Linked DNA regions of Anolis sagrei. The protein of the gene in region 1 purifies or fractionates together with the protein of each later gene. This does not show direct contact. Links are inferred from orthologs where the notes say so. Each region holds a gene or a part of one and is shown on either strand. Other genes may lie near its edges.

Region 1 (11,352 bases):
AAAAAAAGCCAAGTTTGGCCTAGAAAACCTCAAGATAGGTTCACTTTAGGGAATCGGAAGGATTTGAAGGGCACACGAAAGCAACATTTCCATCGCCTGGAAGAAATCTTTACTCATCTCTATTAAAAATAGTCCACGTCTGTGTCACTTTTGACTCCCAAAATGATTCATGAATGCTTAGCGAACCAGTTTAATGATCTCCCAGCCTTGATCGACCGTTTTCCTTACCTTTGTTTGATTAAGTCCTCCACGTCTTTGCACATCTTCCGCCCGTCAAGCAATCGCTGCAGGAGCGCATCGTATCCGGCGTGAACAGTGAACTCTTTGCACTAGGAGTTAATTAAGAGATTAAACAGCTAATTAGTCGACCTGGTTCTGTTCTGGGTTAATTCTGCATCTTGTTTCCAAAATGGCATGAAACAGAGGACAAGGTCTTGACTTGATTCCAAACGATGCTTCATCTGGCTACATATCCTGTACTTGGGACTTTTATCTCCTCGTTAGCTATGTCTCTAGCGCTCAGAAATTGGTTTCGCTTTAGCTGAGAATTTCTTATCTTTTTCTCTCGGAGCCTGGCAGAACGCCGAAGCCACTGTTCGGCTCTCCTGTTTGGACTGATCTGCTTCCGTCTATCTATTTGCTCATTAACTTCTTCAGCTGGGCCAGGTGCCGAGCTATTTTCATCATCATCCCCACACCCCTCAGGGACATTAAATGCAAGAAATCATGAACCCAAGGCATGAATATAAAAGCATAGAATCCAAGAATCAAAACCATGAAACAAAGGCACTTAAAACATGAATTTTCCAAGCAAAGCTTCCATGAAACAAAGACGAGATCTTGACTTGATTCCAAACGAATCCCATATCCTGTACTTGGGACTTTTATCTCCTCATTACGCTATGCCTCTAGCGCTCAAAAATTGGTTTCGCTTCAACTGAGAAGTTCTTATCTTTTTCTCTCAAAGCCTGGCAGAACACCGAAGCCACTGTTCGGCTCTCCTGTTTTGACTGATCTCCTCTCATCTATCTATTTGCTCATTATCTATTTGCTCATTAATTTCTGCAGCTGGGCCAGGTGCTGAGCTATTTTCATGTTCCCTATCATGGGAACTCTTCGGTAACAATCCAGAAAACACACTATCATCCCCACACCCCTCAGGGACATTATCATGGGAAACTACACTTTGCACAGGGATCTCCTGGTCATTCTCTGCATCAACATCACTGGCCAAACCGCTACCATTTTGAAACTCATCTTGCAACTCATTGACATCATTCCCCACATCCAAAGCACCCTGATCCTGGAACACAATCACAGGCTGAGCTCCAATAGGAAAATTGCATTCAAAGCCCTCCCCGCTCCCGACAGATGGCCACCCATCCTCTGCTTAAAAGCCTCCTAAGAAGGAGCCTCCACCACACTCCAGAGCAGAGAGTTCCACTACTGAACAGCTCTCGCAGTCATAAAAATTGAGCATGGAAACACCTAGAAACGTATCGAAGGCCTATGATGCTCTCCTATCAATGCGATGCTACTTAACTTAAGAAGGGAATGTTTGGAAATGAACGAACACTGATCACAATGGTTTGTGCTTATTTAACCAGTATAGGATGGTTTGCAAGCTAAAGTGGGGATAAAGAAGCTCGAGGTTTTTAGTCCTGCTGCCTTACTAAACTCAGAGTGGTGCGGGCCAGGCATGGTTAGGTACAGTCGGAATATTCATAATTCGGAATAAAATTGGAAAAATAATCTTTTCAGAGCGATTTTGAAGTTTTTAAGAAAACCAGAAGTCCCTTTGCCCTTCCGATCCTTTTCCCACCATTTTTGTTACAATTCCTGAAGTGAGTCAGAAATTATTCAGCTTTTCTCCACTTCTGGTCCCTGGCCTCAGCTCAAGCCAGAGATACCAGTTTTAAAGCCAGAGAAGCCAGTTTTAAAGCCAGAGAAGCCAGTTTTAAACAGGAAAAGGAAGGAATTTCCTGGCCTCAGCTCAAGCCAGAGAAGCCAGTTTTAAAGCCAGAGAAGGCAGTTTTAAATTGGGAAAGGAAGGAACTTCCTGGCCTTGGCTCAAGCCAGAAAAGCCAGCTTTAAAGCCAGAGAAGCCAGTTTTAAACCAAAAAAGGAAAGAATTTCCTGGTCTCAGCTCAAGTCAGAGAAGCCAGTTTTAAACCAGAAAAGGAAAGAATTTCCTGGCCTCGGCTCAAGCTAGAGAAGGCAGTTTTAAAGCCAGAGAAGCCAGTTTTAAACCAGAAAAGGAAAGAATTTCCTGGTCTCAGCTCAAGTCAGAGAAGCCAGTTTTAAACAAGAAAAGGAAAAAATTTCCTGGCCTCGGCTCAAGTCAGAGAAGCCAGTTTTAAACCAGAAAAGGAAAGAATTTCCTGGCCTCGGCTCAAGCCAGAGAAGCCAGTTTTAAAGCCAGAGAAGCCAGGTTTAAACCAGAGAAGGAAGGAATTTCCTGGCCTCAGCTCAAGCCAGAGAAGCCAGTTTTAAAGCCAGAGAAGCCAGTTTTAAAAACAGAGAAGCCAGTTTTAAACCAGAAAAGGAAAGAATTTCCTGGCCTTGGATCAAGCCAGAGAAGCCAGTTTTGCAGCCAGAGAAGCAGTTTTAAACCAGAAAAGGAAAGAATTTCCTCTGCTTGCTTTTCCCTGCTTCTGGAGTAAAACAACTACTTTCAAAGTAAAGACCACCTAATGAAACAGGAAATAACACTTTCAAACTATTAATGAAAGGATTCGAAAGTCTTGGAAGTTTCGAAAAGCTTTGAACATATTTTTTTCTGTGAAAATCAGAATTGACTTTAGAATCGAACCACCAGCGCCCCTACATCCGAAACGAGTTTTGAACCATTTTTTTGGATCAGCCAAGCCTAGTGCAGGCTGCATCTGTATTATAGAATTAATGCAGTTTGACGCCACTTTTGAAATAAGAGCATTGCATTCAGTCCAAATTGGGTGGAAAGCACTACCAGCTGTGAGACAAACCACTGCCTTTGTTCCTGGAAGGGCTTTGGTTGGAAAAAGAGAAGTTCTCAATTAACCGCAGAAGGAACAGAGGAAATATAACACGCCAAGACCCTGCCGAACTGCAACTCCCAGGATCCCATCGCATTGAGCCATTGCAATTAAACTGTATTCGTTTTGCAGTGCAAATGCACCCAAAAAGTACCCCAAAAAGGCCCTCCAATGATACCCTAAGAAGAGTGAGATTCTCTTAGGAGCAGATCAGGTTCTCCTTTAGGAAAATAATAAGTTGAAAGAAAAACCCAACGATTCCACTCATTGGAAGTTACAAAGAGCCGCAAGCCAAACCTACTATTGCCTTTGCCATTCCCAGCACGGAGACGAACCCAGCAGAGAAGGATCCAGCTTGAAGTTGCTGCAAAAAATGTGAATTTCTGCCTTCGGATGCATCATCCCAACCATTACGCTCCGACTGATTCACCCGTTTCACACCAGATTAAGCCCAATGTCAGATTTTCCCAGGGAAATATCATTGTGTCTTGGAATAGGAAGCGGCGTTAGTCTGAATCAGGCATTTTGATGGTGCATCTACACCAGGCATGAGCAAACTTGGGCCCTCCAGGTGTTTTGGACTACAACTCCCACCATTCCTAACCACCTCAGGCCCCCTCCTTTTCACCCTCAGCCGCTTAAGCGTTCAGTTCTAGCAAGTCGAAAGAAATTATTATATAGTAAATAGTTGAGTGTACTCAATGTTCAGTTCTACCAAGCCGAAAAAAATTATAATTATTATATAGAAAATAGTTGAGTGTACTCAACGCTCGGTTCTACCAAGCCGATAATAATAATAATAATAATAATTATTATTATTATTATTATTATTATATAGTAAATAGTTGAGTGCACTCATTGTTCAGTTCTACCAAGCTGATAATAATAATTATTATAATAATAATATAGTAAATAGATGAGTGCACTCAATGTTCAGTTCTACCAAGCCAATAATAATAATAATAATAATTATTATTATTATTATTTTAATATAGTAAATAGTTGAGTGCACTCAATGTTTGTTTATTTATTTACTTTATTTATATACCGCTTTTCTCAGCCCTCAGGTGACTCAAAGCAAATGTTCAGTTCTACCAAGCTGAAAATAATAATAATAATATAGTAAATAGTTTAGTGTACTCAAAGTTCAGTTCTACCAAGCCAATAATAATAATAATAATAATAATAATAATAGGCTTGGTAGAACTGAACTTTGAGTACACTAAACTATTTACTATATAATAATAATAATAATAATAATTATTATTATTATTATTATTATTATTATTATTATTTTCAGCTTGGTAGAACTGAACATTCGCTTTGAGTCACCTGAGGGCTGAGAAAAGCGGTATAGTAGTAAATAATTTGAGTGCACTCAATGTTCAGTTCTACCAAGCCAATAATAATAATAATAATAATAATTATTATTATTATTATTATTATTATATAATCAATAGTAGAGTGCACTCAATGTTCAGTTCTACCAAGCCAATAATAATAATAATAATAATAATAATAATAATAATAATAGGCTTGGTAGAACTGAACTTTGAGTACACTAAACTATTTACTATATAATAATAATAATTATTATTATTATTATTATTTTCAGCTTGGTAGAACTGAACATTGAGTGTACTCAGTTATTTACTATATAATAATTTTTTTTCTTGGCTTGGTAGAACTGGGGTGCACTCAGCTATTTACTATATAATAATAATAATAATAATAATAATTATTATTATTATTATTGGCTTGGTAGAACTGAACACTGAGTGCACTCAATTATTTACTACTATACTGCTTTTCTCAGCCCTCAGGTGACTCAAAGCGAATGTTCAGTTCTACCAAGCCGAAAATAATAATAATAATAATTATTATTATAATTATGTAGTAAATAGTTGAGTGCACTCCAGTTCTACCAAGCCAAGAAAAAAATTATTATATAGTAAATAACTGAGTACACTCAATGTTCAGTTTACCAAGCCAATAATAATAATAATAATATAATCAATAGTTGAGTGCACTCAATGTTCAGTTCTACCAAGCCAATAATAATAATAATAATAATTATTATTATTATTATTATTATTATATAATCAATAGTTGAGTGCACTCAATGTTCAGTTCTACCAAGCCGAGAAAAAAAAAGTAAATAACTGAGTGCACTCAATGTTCAGTTCTACCAAGTTGAAAGAAATTATTATTATATAGTAAATAGTTGAATGTACTCAATGTTCAGTTCTACCGAGCCAAAATAATAATAGTAATAGTAGTAATAATAATAGTAGTAGCCAGTTTATACAGTAAATAGTTCATTGCACTCAATGTTGAGTGCGACTCAACCAAAATAATTGTGGCGACAGGTGCCAGGCACTTATTAGACATAATAAAAGTGTTGCGTCTTCTTCTCGATGGCAAGGCATGGGCGCTTACCCAAAAGACATCCTTAAACTGCAGGTGTGCCATGACGAGGAAGGCAGTCCAAAACGGTGCCAAAGGCGTCCGAATAACAGGCACTTTGTTCCAAGCCGAAAAGGAAAATTTTCTTCTTCTTGACAAAGTGCAAAAACGGTTCCCTGGGAGGAAGTTTGTGGCGACGTTTATGTCTCCGAAGGGGGGAGCAGACGACACCCCAAAAGCCTCACCCGCGAGGTCTTCTTTTCCTCTTGCGTTCCACTTTTCGCTCCACCCCTCTTCTTTTCATTTCTGGCAAGCGACGAATATATATATATAATAACGCAATGAGGAAGCCGAAAGAGAAAAAAAAGTTGTCAGTATGCAAAGCAGAGGCTTTTGTGTTTTGTGGGTTACCTTTTAGAAAGTACAGAAAAAGAGAGACACACAACGACAAACGGTTGGAACAAAACCAAACTTGGATTTTGGACCAAAATCTTGGTCCTTGTGTTGTTTATATATTTTTGCCTATCTTATATATGTATATATATGTATGTATGTATATATTGCTAGGCCCAAATCATGTACACACAGGAAGCGGAGCTGCGGTCTTGCCGGCTCAGCGATTGCTGCAAGAACGGAAGGGTTTTCCAACCTCGAAACAGAGGAAATGCATCATTTTTTGCAAATGCACCGGGCTGACATTGAACTGAACATGAATGGAACGAGAAGGGAGCGCACTGCACCACCGGAATACTAATGTGAGCAAAGGCGCACAACAACTAGCACAATGGAGGCCTTGCTTTGGGAGGCCTCGGGCCAGAAATGTTGACATTCAGAGCATGGGATCCCAAGCAGGCTGCGGCCTCCAATGTCTTGGCTCGCTTGAAGCCGCGGGTGATGATGAGCAGTGAAGCTGCAATTCAACGTACATTAATGCGGGTTGATGCCACTTTGGACTGCCGTGGCACAAAGCTACAAAATCCTGGGAGTTGTCCTTGGGGGCCGCATTAACACTCTATCCCAGAGAAGATGAAAGCCCTTGCAAAACTACATCTCCCAGGATCTGACAGCATTGAGAGTGGGAGATGACAAAGGGTTTAATTCTAGTACAGATGGAAGAGGAGCAACAAGCCTCTGTGCTGCTGTCTCTCCTTCCTCCGTTTCCCTCATATACCTCTTCTTTCTTTCCTATCTCTTCCCTTCCTTCCTTCCTTCCTTCCTTCCTTCCTTCCTTCCTTCCTTCCTTCCTTCCTTCCTTCCTCCTTTCTCTTTCCTTCCTCCCCCTTTTTTCTTCCTTCCATCCCTTTTTCTTTCCTTTCTTCCTCCCTCCCTTCACCTCGTATACATATGTCGTATTTCTTTCCCGGTGACTTCACAGAGGGCCACTTCACCTAGCAACAGCTGATCCAGTGATCTCAGAGGGCCACACTAGCCATTCCAGTGGCCTCATAGAAGGTCACTCCACCTAGCAACAGCCGATCCAGTGGCCTCACAAAGGGCCGTTTCACCTATCAACAGCTGAACCAGTAGCCTCACAGAGGGCCACTCAAGCCGATGCAGTGGCATCACAGAGGGCAACTTCACCTAGCAACAGCTGATCCAGTAACCTCATGGAGGGCCACTCTAGCTGATCCAGTAGCCTCAAAAAGGACCACTTCACATAGCAACAGCTAATCCAGTGGCCTCACAGAGGGCTACTTCACTTAGCAATAGCTGATCCAATGGCCTCACAGAGGGCCACTCTAGCTGATGCAGTGGCCTCAAAAAGGGCCACTTCACCTAGCAACAGCTGATCCAGCGACCTCACAGAGGGCCACTTTACTTATCAACAGCCAATCCAGCAACCTCACAGAGGGCCACACTAGCTGATGCAGTGGCCTCCAAAAGGGCCACTTCACCTAGCAACAGCTAATCCAGTGGTTTCACAGAGGGTCACTCTGATGCAGTGGCCTCAAAAATGGCCACTTCACCTAGCAGCAGCCGATCCAACGACCTCACAGAGGGCCATTCTAGCCAATCCAGTGGCCTCACAGAGGACCACTTCACCTAGCAACAGCTGATCCAGTGGCCTCACAGAGGGCCACTCTAGCTGATGCAGTGGTCTCAAAAAGGGCCACTTCACCTAGTAACAGCCAATCCAATGACCTCATGGTGGGCCATTCTAGCTGATGCAGTGGCCTCAAAAAGGGCCACTTCACCTAGTAACAGCCAATCCAATGACCTCATGGTGGGCCATTCTAGCTGATGCAGTGGCCTCAAAAAGGGCCACTTCACCTAGTAACAGCCAATCCAATGACCTCATGGTGGGCCATTCTAGCTGATGCAGTGGCCTCAAAAAGGGCCACTTCACCTAGCAACAGCTGATCCAGTGGCCTCACAGAGGGCCACTCTAGCTGATGCAGTGGCCTCAAAAAGGGCCACTTCACCTAGCAACAGCCGATCTAGCGACCTCACGGAGGGCCACTCTGATGCAGTGGCCTCAAAAAGGGCCACTTCACCTAGTAACAGCCAATGACCTCACAGAGGGCCACTCTAGCTGATGCAGTGGCCTCAAAAAGGGCCACCATCTAGCAACAGCCGATCCAATGGCTTCAGAGGGCCCACTTCATCTAGCAACAGCTGATCCAACGACCTCATGGAGGGCCACTTTGATGCCGTGGCCTCAAAAAGGGCCACTTCACCTAGTAACAGCAATGACCTCACGGAGGGCCACTCTAGCTGATGCAGTGGCCTCAAAAAGGGCCACTTCACCTAGCAACAGCCAATACAGCGACCTCATGGAGGGCCACTCTGATGAAGTGGCCTCAAAAAGGGCCACTTCACCTAGTAACAGCCAATGACCTCACAGAGGGCCACTCTAGCCGATCCAGTGGCCTCACAGAGGACCACTTCACCTAGCAACAGCCGATCCAGCGACCTCACGGAGGGCCACTCTAGCTGATGCAGTGGCCTCAAAAAGGGCCACTTCACCTAGCAACAGCCCATCCAGCGACCTCACGGAGGGCCACTCTGATGCAGTGGCCTCAAAAAGGGCCACTTCACCTAGCAACAGCCCATCCAGCGACCTCACGGAGGGCCACTCTAATGCAGTGGCCTCAAAAAGGGCCACTTCACCTAGTAACAGCCAATGACCTCACGGAGGGCCACTCTAGCTGATGCAGTGGCCTCAAAAAGGGCCACTTCACCTAGCAACAGCCGATCCAGCGACCTCAGAGGGCCACACTAGCTGATGCAGTGGCCTCCAAAAGGGCCACTTCACCTAGCAACAGCCCATCCAGCGACCTCACGGAGGGCCACTCTAATGCAGTGGCCTCAAAAAGGGCCACTTCACCTAGCAACAGCTGATCCAGTGGCCTCACAGAGGGCCACTCTAGCTGATGCAGTGGCCTCAAAAAGGGCCACTTCACCTAGCAACAGCCGATCTAGCGACCTCACGGAGGGCCACTCTGATGCAGTGGCCTCAAAAAGGGCCACTTCACCTAGTAACAGCCAATGACCTCACAGAGGGCCACTCTAGCTGATGCAGTGGCCTCAAAAAGGGCCACCATCTAGCAACAGCCGATCCAATGGCTTCAGAGGGCCCACTTCATCTAGCAACAGCTGATCCAACGACCTCATGGAGGGCCACTTTGATGCCGTGGCCTCAAAAAGGGCCACTTCACCTAGTAACAGCAATGACCTCACGGAGGGCCACTCTAGCTGATGCAGTGGCCTCAAAAAGGGCCACTTCACCTAGCAACAGCCAATACAGCGACCTCATGGAGGGCCACTCTGATGAAGTGGCCTCAAAAAGGGCCACTTCACCTAGTAACAGCCAATGACCTCACAGAGGGCCACTCTAGCCGATCCAGTGGCCTCACAGAGGACCACTTCACCTAGCAACAGCCGATCCAGCGACCTCACGGAGGGCCACTCTAGCTGATGCAGTGGCCTCAAAAAGGGCCACTTCACCTAGCAACAGCCCATCCAGCGACCTCACGGAGGGCCACTCTGATGCAGTGGCCTCAAAAAGGGCCACTTCACCTAGCAACAGCCCATCCAGCGACCTCACGGAGGGCCACTCTAATGCAGTGGCCTCAAAAAGGGCCACTTCACCTAGTAACAGCCAATGACCTCACGGAGGGCCACTCTAGCTGATGCAGTGGCCTCAAAAAGGGCCACTTCACCTAGCAACAGCCGATCCAGCGACCTCAGAGGGCCACACTAGCTGATGCAGTGGCCTCCAAAAGGGCCACTTCACCTAGCAACAGCCCATCCAGCGACCTCACGGAGGGCCACTCTAATGCAGTGGCCTCAAAAAGGGCCACTTCACCTAGTAACAGCCAATGACCTCACGGAGGGCCACTCTAGCTGATGCAGTGGCCTCAAAAAGGGCCACTTCACCTAGCAACAGCCGATCCAGCGACCTCAGAGGGCCACACTAGCTGATGCAGTGGCCTCCAAAAGGGCCACTTCACCTAGCAACAGCCCATCCAGCGACCTCACGGAGGGCCACTCTGATGCAGTGGCCTCAAAAAGGGCCACTTCACTTAGCAACAGCCAATCCAACGACCTCACAGAGGGCCACTCTAGCCAATCCAGTGGCCTCACAGAGGACCACTTCACCTAGCAACAGCTGATCCAGTGGCCTCACAGAGGGCCACTCTAGCTGATGCAGTCGCCTCAAAAAGGGCCACTTCACCTAGCAACAGCCCATCCAGCGACCTCACGGAGGGCCACTCTGATGCAGTGGCCTCAAAAAGGGCCACTTCACCTAGTAACAGCCAATGACCTCACGGAGGGCCACTCTAGCCAATCCAGTGGCCTCACAGAGGACTACTTTACCTTTCAACAACCGATCCAGTGGCCTCACAGAGGGCCACCTCACCTAGCAGCAGTTGATCCAGTGACCTCAGAAGGCCACTTCAGCCAACCCATTGGCCTCAGAGGGCCACTTCACCTAGCAACAGTCTTTGTGGTATAAACAGACGATCACACATACATACATAGACATATCAAACGATAGATTGTTCTTGTGGGCTTTTCGTTTTGCAGACCTTTCTAAACAGTATTTACTGATGTCCCATAAACAAAAAGGAAAGCTGGAAGTTCAAGAACATTTTGAAAAATTCACACCAGAAATGACACTTGTGAAGGTTTTAATTGGAGTGTTTTGTCGCGGGTAGTGTTCTGACCTAAAATATACCTGCTAAAGGTTCGAAAATAACCATCAGGCTGCAAAAATACCATTTCTGGGTCGTATAAACACCCACAAACTGAAAGTTCATTATAAACAGAAAACCTTAAAAAGTAAGGAAAAGCCCCGGTCCTCCTCGAGGCAGAAGGACGACGACAAACGGAAAAACCCAGCCAAGGCTTCCACCTTCCCCAAATCGAATACTGAACTAGTGGTGATGGGTTTGCACTATCACAAGTCGAACCTTGGCGTTTTCAAGTAAGTTTCCGAAAAAGCAAAAATCAGTTTCCATTCAAGAGTCAAGCTTTGGAGTCCCGAAATGATAAAGGCGAGGGGCGATGCGCAAAGACATTCGGGAATGAAAACCAGTGTGTGCGTATCTATCGATATATTTTACATTCGCACACGATTCATATGGTTGCGTTATATGCAGAGTCTCTTGGGAATTACAGTTCTTCGTGGTAGAAGCGCTCGTCCTGCAGCTGCCGGCCGTAATCCGTGGCCTCGCTGTTGAGGAAGAGATCCTGGTTTGCAAGGATTTCCACCTCCGTCAGTCTTTGGTCCCCATCCTGGTCCATTTCCTCAATGAGGTGGGAGGCCTGGGAAAGGAAAGATTAATGTTATGTAGCTTGTCAATGCGCTGTCATTTCGCAAATTTAGCCTAATATCCACACTTACACCAGAAGCGACTTGCAGTTTCTCAAGTCGCTCCTGACACGACCAAAAAAACAAACAACCCCTCCCCCCCAAAAGGAGCAG
Region 2 (11,352 bases), on another chromosome or scaffold:
TTGACTGTCAGGGTACAAGTAGAGTCTCTGTTTCATACCTTTCCTAATAATGTCCCATAGAATCATCACTCTATAGAGATGATCTGCTGCTCTGGGAATCCTTCCACGCTGCACAGTTATACCACTGTGGGCCAGTGGTTTAGCACAGCTGGTAAGTCACCAGCAATTATAAGATCTATCAACCGAAAGGTTGCAAGTTCGAAGCCCTGGGTCAGTGTGAGCTGCTGACTGTCAGACCAGCTTACTATTGACCTAAGCAGTTCAAAAACAGCTTTACCTGTAATTATTATTATTATTTATTATTATTAACTTTATTTGTACCCTGCTAGCATCTCCCGAAGGACTCGATGCGGCTTACAAAGGCCAAGGCCTCAAAACACAACACAACAATACAACACCTAAAGCAAAATTAAAAACAGTTAAAGCAGTATTAACGACATGCAATAAACAATACATCAAGACACTATGAAAACTGGGCCAGGCCAGAGTAAGGGGTACAGGATTAAAAGTGCTGATGTGATAGGTGGTATGTGAGGATTGTAGGGCAAGTGCAGTGTGCAGTGTGCAGCAATCTTAGTTCTACTTAAGTGCTTCTGGGACTTGTTATTGGAGATTCCTATTCTGGAAAGGCGCATCGGAATAGCCAGGTAATTAGAGAAATTAGGTATCGCTAAAAGCGGGGAAGGTGTTTCACAATGCCATAAAGAAAGAAGATCAGAAAATGCTGGGCGAGCAAAAGGAAGGAGGAAGTGGCTCTTTGTCATAGAGGATGGAGCGACAGCACCCCCTGTATCTGGATTCAAGCCCAACCTTCCATGGCACCAAAAGCTGGACATTGAAAGCATGGCACCAAAAGCTGGACCAACACACCTCCTTCTGTATTGTCTATACAAAATGGCATAGAATGTTTGCTGTGTATGTGTACTGTGATCCACCCTGAGTCCCCTTCGGGGTGAGAAGGGCAGAATATAAATAAAGTTGATATTATTATTATTATTATTATTATTATTATTATTATTATTATTTAATTACTGTGTCAACCTCCTATGGAATCCTTGGATTTGTAGTTTAGTGAGAAGCGCTTGGCAAGCTTCCAGGCTACAGATTTTAAAAATCCTTCCCTCAATTGTCAATCACAAAATTCCATAGGATATTGCCATTGCAGTTCAAGTGGAGCAATAGTGCCATAATTACATTGTGTGAAAAGCCCCTGGACTCTTCCCCGTTTTCTGACCTGAAAAGCCTATCATGAAAGAAAAGCCAAAATGTTGAGGTCTTGGGTGTTGAAAACTGGGTGGAGGCTAGTAATTAAATGGAGCAGACAGGAAGGCTCCTATGCCTTTAATTACCATTTGGAAAGACCAGAACATAGGAAAGATATTTGCCTTCATTATGAAGAAACCTATGCTTGCCAAAATTCTGTACATATACGGTCCTCTTTTGCATCTGGTCACCCTACAGAGCGATACCGAACAAGTTCACAAGATGACGGGTAACTTCAAAAATATTTATAGTAGTTAAAAGTTACAAACCTAGACCCTATAAGATCATTAGGATTCTAGTTGCAGTTTTACAAAGTAACATTGTTCTTTCCCTCCATTTAGATGTAAACAAAAGTACAGTAGTAGTTTTTGTTACTTTTTGGAAAAATTGAAATGTTATGTTGGCCTGTTGTACAAAATACTCTTCTCTGAAAGGTCATGCTTTTCTAAAAGTAATGCTCTCCAAAAGGTGTTTTCCCAAAAGGTTATAAATGCCATTTTCCAAAATAATTTGGGGATTTAAGGATTCCTCGCATACTGGTTGCACCCCTGTCCTTGCGCTTGCCCCTTACAGCAGCCCCCAAAGATTTGAGGGGCAAACTCACAGGCAGGTGATGGCGAAGAGCTAGGAGACCTCTTTGGCTGCCGACCACGGGAAACCCAGTAGGCCTAATGTGTCACCACATAATTGCATGCCCTCTTTGTGAAGGGAAATGCAATTATTATGCGGTGAAATACAGTACATGGTCACCATACGTCAAAGTCAATCAGATGGCAGTTAACAATCCCCACTCAAGAAAATTGTACTTAATTTTAAACAGATTCAAATAAGTGAGTGCATTATATGAACTTACGATTTGGAGCAGAGATTATATATATTTTACATGATATTTTGGAAACGGTTGATATTTTTAGATTTTTTTTTTTGCAATGAAAAAAGAACAGTGTTCTTTAAAATATGGGCATGCTGTAGAAGATTTAACCACTCAGTAGGCTAACAACCTCTAAATAGCTATTAACCCGCTCAGAAACTACCATCTTCAACGTCTTGATGGTGGAACTGGTTTACAAGTAGGCATGGTCTCAAAATAAAGTGTACACCATTATCGAACAAGAATAGACTGCATACATTTTTTCTACTAAAGGATATTACCCTTGTGTATTTCTGAACTCTGAAAGGGCCTATTTTGATGGTAATGACTCGCCCTCTCTCCCACTTCTAGACCCGCTATATGTCATCATTGCCGGATCCACCACCACCACACTGAGGAAGTGGTTTTTCTCTCTCCATTTCCTGAAGACAAGGCAGTTTACAGAAACAACAGACAGCTCTAGAATTCTTTCCTTCTGCATCGTTGTTGTTTCACTGTCGAACTTCTCCGGTCACTTCTATTCATGGAAGATGAAGTAAAAATGCGAAGACCAACAAAACATAACAAAAACCTTCATTCTTGTGAAGATGTACTTGGCTTCTTGCCCAGTGGATTGGCTTTAATTTTATTTCCAAACTATTGCAAGACAGTGAGTACCTTAAATATGGAAATGTCTCCTCCAGCCAGTTGCTCACTAAAGGCACTGGTCAATAAATCCCTTTATTTGCTACCAGCATGTTGGCATGATAGGAAATCACACATCTTGAAGGCACCAGATTAGAGAAATGTAGAGGCTGAGGGCCTTTCGACACAGCCATATAACCCAGAAAAATCCCACAATATCTGGTTTGAGCTGGGTTATCTGAGGGCCCTTCCACACAGCCATATAATCCAGAATATCAAGGCAGAAAATCCCACAATATCTGTTTGGAACTGGGTTATCTGAGTCCACCCTGCCATAAATTCCAGTTCAAAGCAGATAATGTGGGGTTCTATTCAGCTGTGTGGAAGGAACCTGAGATATCTGAACAAGAAAGAAAGGCAGGGGTTGTCTGCAGATGAGAAATGGTGGGGGAAGACCTATTCGTGGGAGAGACTGTGCCTACGAAAGGCCACATTAATCCTTACCACAAGTCCCCAGCCACCCAACACGTTCCAATTTTTTTAAGCTGGGTGAACATGGCCTCCATGCATTTGAGGAGAAAGTATTTTGCAGGAGCTGAATAGATCATGTGCCCAGGCAAACAAATGTCAGAACTTAACTATTGCTTGAAACAACAAAACTGTATTTTACAAAATCATCTATTATTTTAGCAAGCCATATTCTAGGCAAAACAATGAAGTCTGGACTCTGCTGATTGTCATTGTTCCCTATAGATTTTTCAATTTGATCCATTTCCCATCAAGTGCTGGTTTATGAATTTACAAAGCATCAGTGCCACTTCTTTTACCATTTTCCTCTTCTAATTTTTTAGCAGCCAATAAACAGTTGCTTGTCAGGTTTGTTAAGATGCAACATTATTTTTTGCATAGAGGATCCTCCAAAAAGATCAACGATCTTGATGCATTTTGGGGAGTTAAATTCTATCGTATCTCTCGGCATTTGAACTCCCCCCCCCCCCCTTACTGATCAAACACATTTTCTAACATCTCCTTGTTTATCCTCTGATTGACAGTGACAGGAAAGTCAGGCTCTAAGGCAGTGTTTCTCAACCTGGGGGTCGGGAACCCTGGGAGGGTCATGAGGGAGGTTTCAAAGGGATCGCCAAAGACCATCAGAAAACACAGCATTTTTTGTTGGCAATGGGGGTTCTGTGTGGAAAGTTTGGCCCAGTTCTATAATTGGTGGAATTCTGAATGCTCTTTGAATGTAGGCGAACCTTGACATTTGGAAGTTGTAGGTGAATTCCAGCAACTACAACTCCCAAATGTCAAGATCTATTTTCCCCAAACTCCACCAGTGTTCACATTTGGGCATATCGAGTATTTGTGCCTAGTTTGGTCCAGATCCACCTGTTTGAATACACAGTGCCCTCTGGATGTAGGTGAACTACAACTCCCAAACTCAAGATCAATGTCGACAAACCCTTCCAGTATTTTCTGTTGGTCATGGGATCATGGGAGTTCTGTGTGCCAAGTCTGGTTCGATTCCATAGTTGGTGTTCAGAATGCTCTTTGATTATAGGTTAACTATAAAATCCAGCAACCACAACTCCCAAATAACAAAATCAATCCCCCCTCCAACCCCACCAATATTCAAATTTGGGCATATCGAGTATTTGTGCCAAATTTGGTGCAGTGAATGAAAATACATTCTGCATATCAGATATTTCCATTACAATGCAATGAAAATAATTTTATGGTTGGGGGTCACCACAACATGAGGAACTGTATTAAGGGGTCATGGCATTCGAAAGATTGAGAACCACTGCTCTAAGGAAGGTACTTGCCCATAACCATGAGTCCTTCTACTCCTGTGCCAGACTGAATGCTCGAATCACTTAGATCCCCCAAATTTGTCCAAGAAATCCAGTCGACCACCTCCCCCTGCTCCTCCCTCTGCCCCAGACAGATTTCTGAATTCTGTTTGCAGTTTTTCTATCCGAGAACAAAGCCAGAATTACCGTGCATTTCCTGCCCAGGAGTTCAAACACTTGTTGGTTCTCATGGTCCTGGAGCAGGTTAGATGGTGTATTTTCCTGCTGTGTCCTGGCTCCTGGTTTGGGCCTCCGGCTCATCTTGGGCCCCGTTAAAGACGACTCTGGATGATCTCACCCAGAGCGAACTTCCGTCTTGCAAGGCCTTTTCTCTTTACAACAGGAAGTTCGGAAACCACCAGGCCACAGAGACAAGAGAGAAAGAGACTCCCCATCTTGCTTCATGAGAGTCCTGGAGTAAGTCCTTCCTGAGCATGGCTGAGTTACCAACAGGCCGAGAGTGGGCCAGAATGAAGGAGACACCTCAAACAAATGATTCTGCTCTGAGAAACAACAATTAGCTCAGAGTTCACTCCTATGGCACCTCAGATTCAGTACATATATTTTTGAAGCTTGTGAAAATAGGTATGACTGTTGTTCAGTTCCCAAAAACATATTTTAAGGGCAGGGTTTATTCTGAACTCAGCACTAAAGATTTCTACCCACCTTGGACTTGGCAGGGGAATACAAAAGTTTCCAAGTATCATGTTGCATCTTTGAGACTGAGAGAGAGAAAAAAATACTAGAACCAGCTTTTGTGGACTCAAGTTTGCTTCATTAGATGCAATGGAAAGGATTAGCATTGCATCTAATGGTAATGGTAACTATTTGCATCTAATTGCATCTAATAGTTACAATGGAATGGCAGTGTGTGTGTTAGTTGCATGACAAACAGCAAATGTTAAGGGAACATTCAACCACAAAAACCTTGTGGTAGTTGCCCAGAATACCACTCTGCTTTTCTAGCACTAAAGCTTTGATCACAGCCTTTTAACATATATCCTCTTCCAAATGTTGCTTTGAGGATCAGATTTCAAATCCTATTTGCCCTGTTTTCTTTCATTCAAAGTTATCTTGAATGAAAGTTGGGGCAGAAACATGAGGTGAGCATCAAAGATGTGGACTATTCTTGGTGTTATGGATTAAAAAATACTTTCTCCTGCTCTTGAATCTGGTCCTGCCATTGCCCAAAAAGAATTATTCTTAACTGGCTGAATTCAATTAGAATGAACTTCCTGGCAGACTTTTTGTATGTCGTTACTTCTTAACGTTTTTATGATGAGCCACCTCCCATCTTGGAAAGAGGGGGGAGAAAAAGGAAGGTTCTTTATTTTTAAAAATGCATTTGCCAAAGTCCACACATAAAAGATATTAAAAAATCAATGCAAAAATCCTAAGAAAAAACCTGAAACTATGCTGTTTGCACTCTGGAGGTTTAATGAGATTTTGGTGTTTAAAACAGCACAGGCAAGTGTCCCAAACACAAAAATAGGTTTAATTAGGTGGGAAGTTGTAAAATTGAGTCCATGCCTATGAGACTGAGATAGAAAACTAGCAGTAGAGACATACTTCTGGGATTCTTTCCTGGATTAGAAATGAACTGGTACATGGCCTCATCAGACTGGCATGCCCATGCTTGTATGTTCTGCCCAGGTACCTATTTAATAGATGCAGGAGAATATTTAGCCCGCAGAAGAGAAGGCTGAGAGGAGACATGATGAGGGCCATGTAAAAATATGTGAAGGGAATTCACAGAGAGGAAGGAGCAGGCTTGTTTTCTGCTGCCCGGGAGACTAGGCCACAGAATAATGGCTTCAAACTACAGGAAAGGAGATTCCACCTGAATATGAGGAAGAACTTCCTAACTGTGAGATCTGTTCATCAGTGGAACTCTCTGCTCCAGAGTGTGCTGGAGGCTCCTTCTTTGGAGGCTTTTACACAGATGCTGGATGACTTTCAGGGGCGCTTTGAATGCAATTTCCTGCTTCTTGGCAGGGGGGTTGGACTGGATGGCCCACATGGTCTCTTCCAACTCTATGAATCAAGGAGGATGGTGAGCCTATTTAGGAATGAATTTATTTGCTAATATTGCATCTCACTAACTTTTAATTTGGTCCCTTGATTATATTTGGATCACGCCCAACTCAGTATTTCTGGCTATGGGCTTAGGAAGGAAAAATGGTGAAGAACACTTTCTCTTTCACAAACAGAACTTTCTCTCTCATATAAGACACAGAGCCAATGAAGACTAAATGTGTTCATTGGTTGGGATAAAAAGACACAATGCAAGGAAGCATTCCCCCCACCTTCTGTTTTTCTGGCAAACATTGCAGCAAACACTTATCACACACGCACATGTCGAAGTATGTATGCTTGTAAAACAAAGACTGTTGCTAGGTGAAATGGCCCTCTATGATTTCACTGGACTGGCTGTTGCTAGGTTAGGTGATCCCCTGTGATGTCTCTGAGAGAGGAAGTTGACATGTGTATGAGGGGGAGGAAGGAAATGGTAGCCTGCACAATGGTAGCCTGCCTACCACTGCTTGAGTGTTGCCATGAAGAAGTTGCAAAGAAGGCCTTATCAGAGCTGGAGAAGGGAGAAAGAAGGTAAGCAGTGGTCCCAACGACGCTCAAGCAACATCAGGTATACAGTGTTCCCTCACTTACTGCTAGTGTTACATTCCAGGACCACCCGCAATAAGTGAAAATCCGCAAAGTAGGGACACTCCGCCCACTCCTCTCTCCCTCAGTTCAAGTGGTGCCAAGGTTTCCTGAGCATGTGCAGTGTGCTTCCTCATTGCGTGTCTAATCATCTTCCTTCTTGAAACATGGCCCCACTGGAGTCTCTCCCTCCCTCCCTCCCTTCCTGGCGCTCACCCGGGGCCGGAGGATGTGGTGGCCTTGATGGGCCGCTTGCTGTAGCACTTGTGGGTCGGGCTTGAGAAGGAGGACGAGGAGGAAGCAGCAGCAGCAAAGAGGCAGAAGCGGAGGGGCCAGAGTCAGAGTGCCACCAATGAAATGAATGGAAAGGGCAAGTAAAAGATATGGAGACAGGTCTCAACTTAAAAGGAATGGAGACAGGTCTCAATGTAGACAGTAAAAGGAATGAAGACAGGCTGGAGGAAAAGAGGGAGGACTGAAGAAAAACCCGCGAAACAGCGAGTCTGCGATAAGCAAACTACGAAATAGCGAGGGAACACTGTATACACTAGTATTTACATACAATTGAGCATATAGCCATATATGTAATTAAAAGAGCTGTAGCAACATTATATTGTTTTCCTATACATCTGATTGATGGTATTATAAGCATTAAAAACAAACAAAAGACATTATCCATGGCATGATTGTTTCTCCTGAAAGTCAACAGTTTTATTGCATTCCAAAATTAAACAAATACCGTGTCCTTGCATCCATTTTCACATTTTGAATCTGATTCCCTCCTCCCTTAAACATGAAACCTGCTCCGACCCCAACCAGAATCAAGAGCTGTTAAGTCTCTATGGGAAGAAATCCTGAGGTTTCCAGAGAGAGAATGGAAAAGGGTAATGGCAACCTGCAGTCACCCAAACACCATGTGAGGAAGAGGAATTGTAGTGAGACACAAACACCCTGTGAAAATGAAGAGAAATGTAAACCTGGATGGGTCGGCCACACAGACAGGAGCCACCCCAGACATTTGTCACAAAAGCTGAAAGTAACCAATTAAGCAAGGTTGTTAAATATAATCAGTTGTCTCAATGTATCAAGAATATAACAAAATTACGTTTTAACCCTAAAAGCAAAATATTGTTGTAAAAAGTAACAGTTTCTAATTATTTTCAAGTTAACGCATTTCAAGAGGCATTTTGACAGGACGGTTTGAAGTTTTATGCTTCTCTCTTATTGGTGAGGAGAGTTTCGCCGCCTCCCCCTTATAAAGTAACAAAAAATACTGGAAATGAAATGAGAAAAGTAGGAAATGCAATTTTCCATCAACATTATAGAATAATATAATGATGAGTGATTGCAATGGGTTACTTTTTAGCCACTGTAATGACTTAACAAAACAAATCACTTTCCAAATTAACTTTTCCAGCATTTCAAAAACAAAAGCAAAATATTATTGTCAAAGGTAACTGTTTCCAATTATTTTTAAATTACCGTATTTGAAGAGGTGTTTTGACAGGACATGCTGAAGTTTTGTCCCCTTTTATTATCAATCTGGAGGATTTGCCCACCCCTTTATACAACAACAGAAAGTACTGGAAAAGCAATCATAATGCAATGTAACAATTTAACTGTCTCATCATCATGATGGGCTACTACAACAGATGAATTGAGCAGGAACAACACAGCATATGTCCCAATGTAAAAAGGTGGACCATATTACGTGAACAAGGATTTCCATCCGATTCAGACTACTGACAGTTTTAGGGAAGGATGCAACCATTGCAGAAATGTAAATGCAATGTATTTCTGGAGTTCCAAAGAACTTCATATTTTTGCCATTTCAAATATACATATATAATACACTTAGCAAAGCTGCTGGAGCCCCTGATGGCGCAGTGGGTTAAACCATTGTGCCGGCAGGACTGAAGACTGACAGGTTGTAGGTTCGAATCTAGGGAGAGCGCGAATGAGCTCCCTTTATCAGCTCCAGCTCCCCATGCGGGGACATGAGAGAAGCCTCCCACAAGGATGGTAAAACATCAAAATATCCGGGCGTCCCCTGGGCAACATCCTTGCAGATGGCCAATTCTCTCACACGAGAAGCGACTTGCAGTTTCTCAAGTTGTTCCTGACATGACAAAATAATAATAATAAAATAAAAAAGCAAAGCTGCTAGTCCTGGGGTGAGCAATATGCGTTCTTTGGATATTGTTGGACCTACAATCCATGAAATCCCTCAGCATTGACAATCCCAGTAAGGATTGAAAGAACCTCTGGTCCATCACTTTGAAGGCTGTGCACTGCCCACCTTGTGCTAGCAGACCAAGTAATTTGGCCCAAACAAGAAACAGGTATACTATGAAACATTTCAAGTAAAAGCAATGTGTGCTGTGCTGCTGAATAATGACTAATATGACATGATTAACACAGCCCTTTTCATCCTGTAATGCATACCATCCAGATATCTGTTGGGACTACAACTCCCACCATCACTAAAAATTTGGTTTTGTTTTTCCCCAGAAGGTAAAAGCCAAATTAACTGGTTCAATTGAGAAATACTAAACATTATGAAGGGCCTCCAGAAAGTATGAGCTATTTGATAGTGGAGCAGACTGCCTCAGACTTTGCTTCAGGAGATATGGGGTGACCACTGCGGCTGTACAGGCCATACTATAATGAAATAGCAACACATTTTTAGCACTTGGCAAAGGATATTTCCAATTCCAATAACTTAAAATGGACACCCACCATTCTAAGTTAACAAATCACGACTTATTGCAACAGTGCCAAAGAATGTTTAACAGCTGGAGAAAACTAGGTGGTGTGTTGATGCAATAGTACTGGTAATAATACAGCGACCTATATGGAAGCCATGACGAGTTTGGGATATCGGTATAAAAAGGGGCAAGAGAACAAGACTAAAGAACTAGAGTTGCAAAAAGAGAAGAGAAGCCAATGGGTACCAGAGTTGGGAAGGTTGCAAACCTAGAAAGTCACGCTGGCACAGATCCTGATCAGATTTGCAAAGGGAACTTATTGAAGATGGGACTCTGTGCCAATTCCTCTATTCTCTTCACTTGATCCTTCAGTGTGTTAAAGCAACCCAAGCCATTTTAGTACTTGAGGTAGAAAATCCGAATGACATCTCCTTTCCATCCTCAATGGTGGAAAATAAAGATTGTAATTGGCAATTTTTTGCCATGAAACTGTCTAAGGAAAGCCATACCACAGGGCTAACCCTGACCTTCAAGGATATTTTCATTATCTTTTTTGGTGTCTTCTGATTTGGATGAGCACTTAATTTAGCATCGTCATGGCCAGAATCACTGGGTTGTTGTGTGTTTTTTGGGCCGTATGGCCATGTTCGAGAAGCATTCTCTCTTGACATTTTGCTTGCATTTATGGCAGGCATCCTCAGAGGTTGTGAGGTCTCAGAACATCTACGGATGCCTTCCATTGATGCAAGTGAAACGTCAGGAGAGAATGCTTCTGGAACATGGCCATACAGCCCAAAAAACACACAACTTAATTAATTGTAATATCGAATTTACTCTGCCTTTATCTGATTGTTGCTTTTGTCTTACTTAAATATATCAATTTCAAGTCTATAAAACAACTTTTAAAATGTAAATGTTGTGTATTTTGATATTGTTTACTGAAAGCTGCTTTTGGACACTGTTCGCTGTGGAAAAGCAGCATACAAATAAGCTAAATGCAGACTATATGTATCCTGCCTGTCTTCTAAGTGGACCTTACAAGGCCATGTGACAATTCGTCTGGATCTTTTAATCATTCTTTTTTTTTTTTACAAAATTAATTTTAATAATTATTTCAAAATTCATACCAAAGCACTTTAAAAATTCCAGGACAAGTGCACCACTTTCACCAATATTAAAAAAACAGAAGGCAGAAGAGGACATGAAAGCAAAACATCTTTCTTAAAGCAAGTAAGTATTTTTGAAATTTAAGTGCTATTGTGCAAATATGAAACATAGAGGCAAAAAAAAAAGACTAAATGGGAAAAAATTAAACAAAAAACAGAATTAAAATGTCACGGATACACAGGAAACAGGGAAGATGTGCAGAGAG

The links.
Region 2: the proteins of PSTPIP1 (region 1) and WAS purify together in Homo sapiens (affinity purification with western blotting; 3 studies listed by BioGRID and IntAct, with this or other methods). This does not show direct contact. The link is inferred for Anolis sagrei from reciprocal best matches to the Homo sapiens genes PSTPIP1 and WAS.

What each region holds. Positions count from the first base shown.
Region 1 is NC_090029.1:10,958,319-10,969,670, forward strand, and holds the start of PSTPIP1 (proline-serine-threonine phosphatase-interacting protein 1), read right to left. Parts: upstream 5,914-11,352; 5' UTR 5,487-5,913; coding exon 5,454-5,486; intron 330-5,453; coding exon 229-329; intron 1-228. Other genes in the region: RCN2 (reticulocalbin-2), read right to left, coding at 11,040-11,192. UniProt on the Homo sapiens protein: Involved in regulation of the actin cytoskeleton. May regulate WAS actin-bundling activity. Bridges the interaction between ABL1 and PTPN18 leading to ABL1 dephosphorylation.
Region 2 is NC_090022.1:194,030,096-194,041,447, reverse strand, and holds the start of WAS (actin nucleation-promoting factor WAS), read right to left. Parts: upstream 5,147-11,352; 5' UTR 4,873-5,146; coding exon 4,759-4,872; intron 1-4,758. UniProt on the Homo sapiens protein: Effector protein for Rho-type GTPases that regulates actin filament reorganization via its interaction with the Arp2/3 complex. Important for efficient actin polymerization. Possible regulator of lymphocyte and platelet function.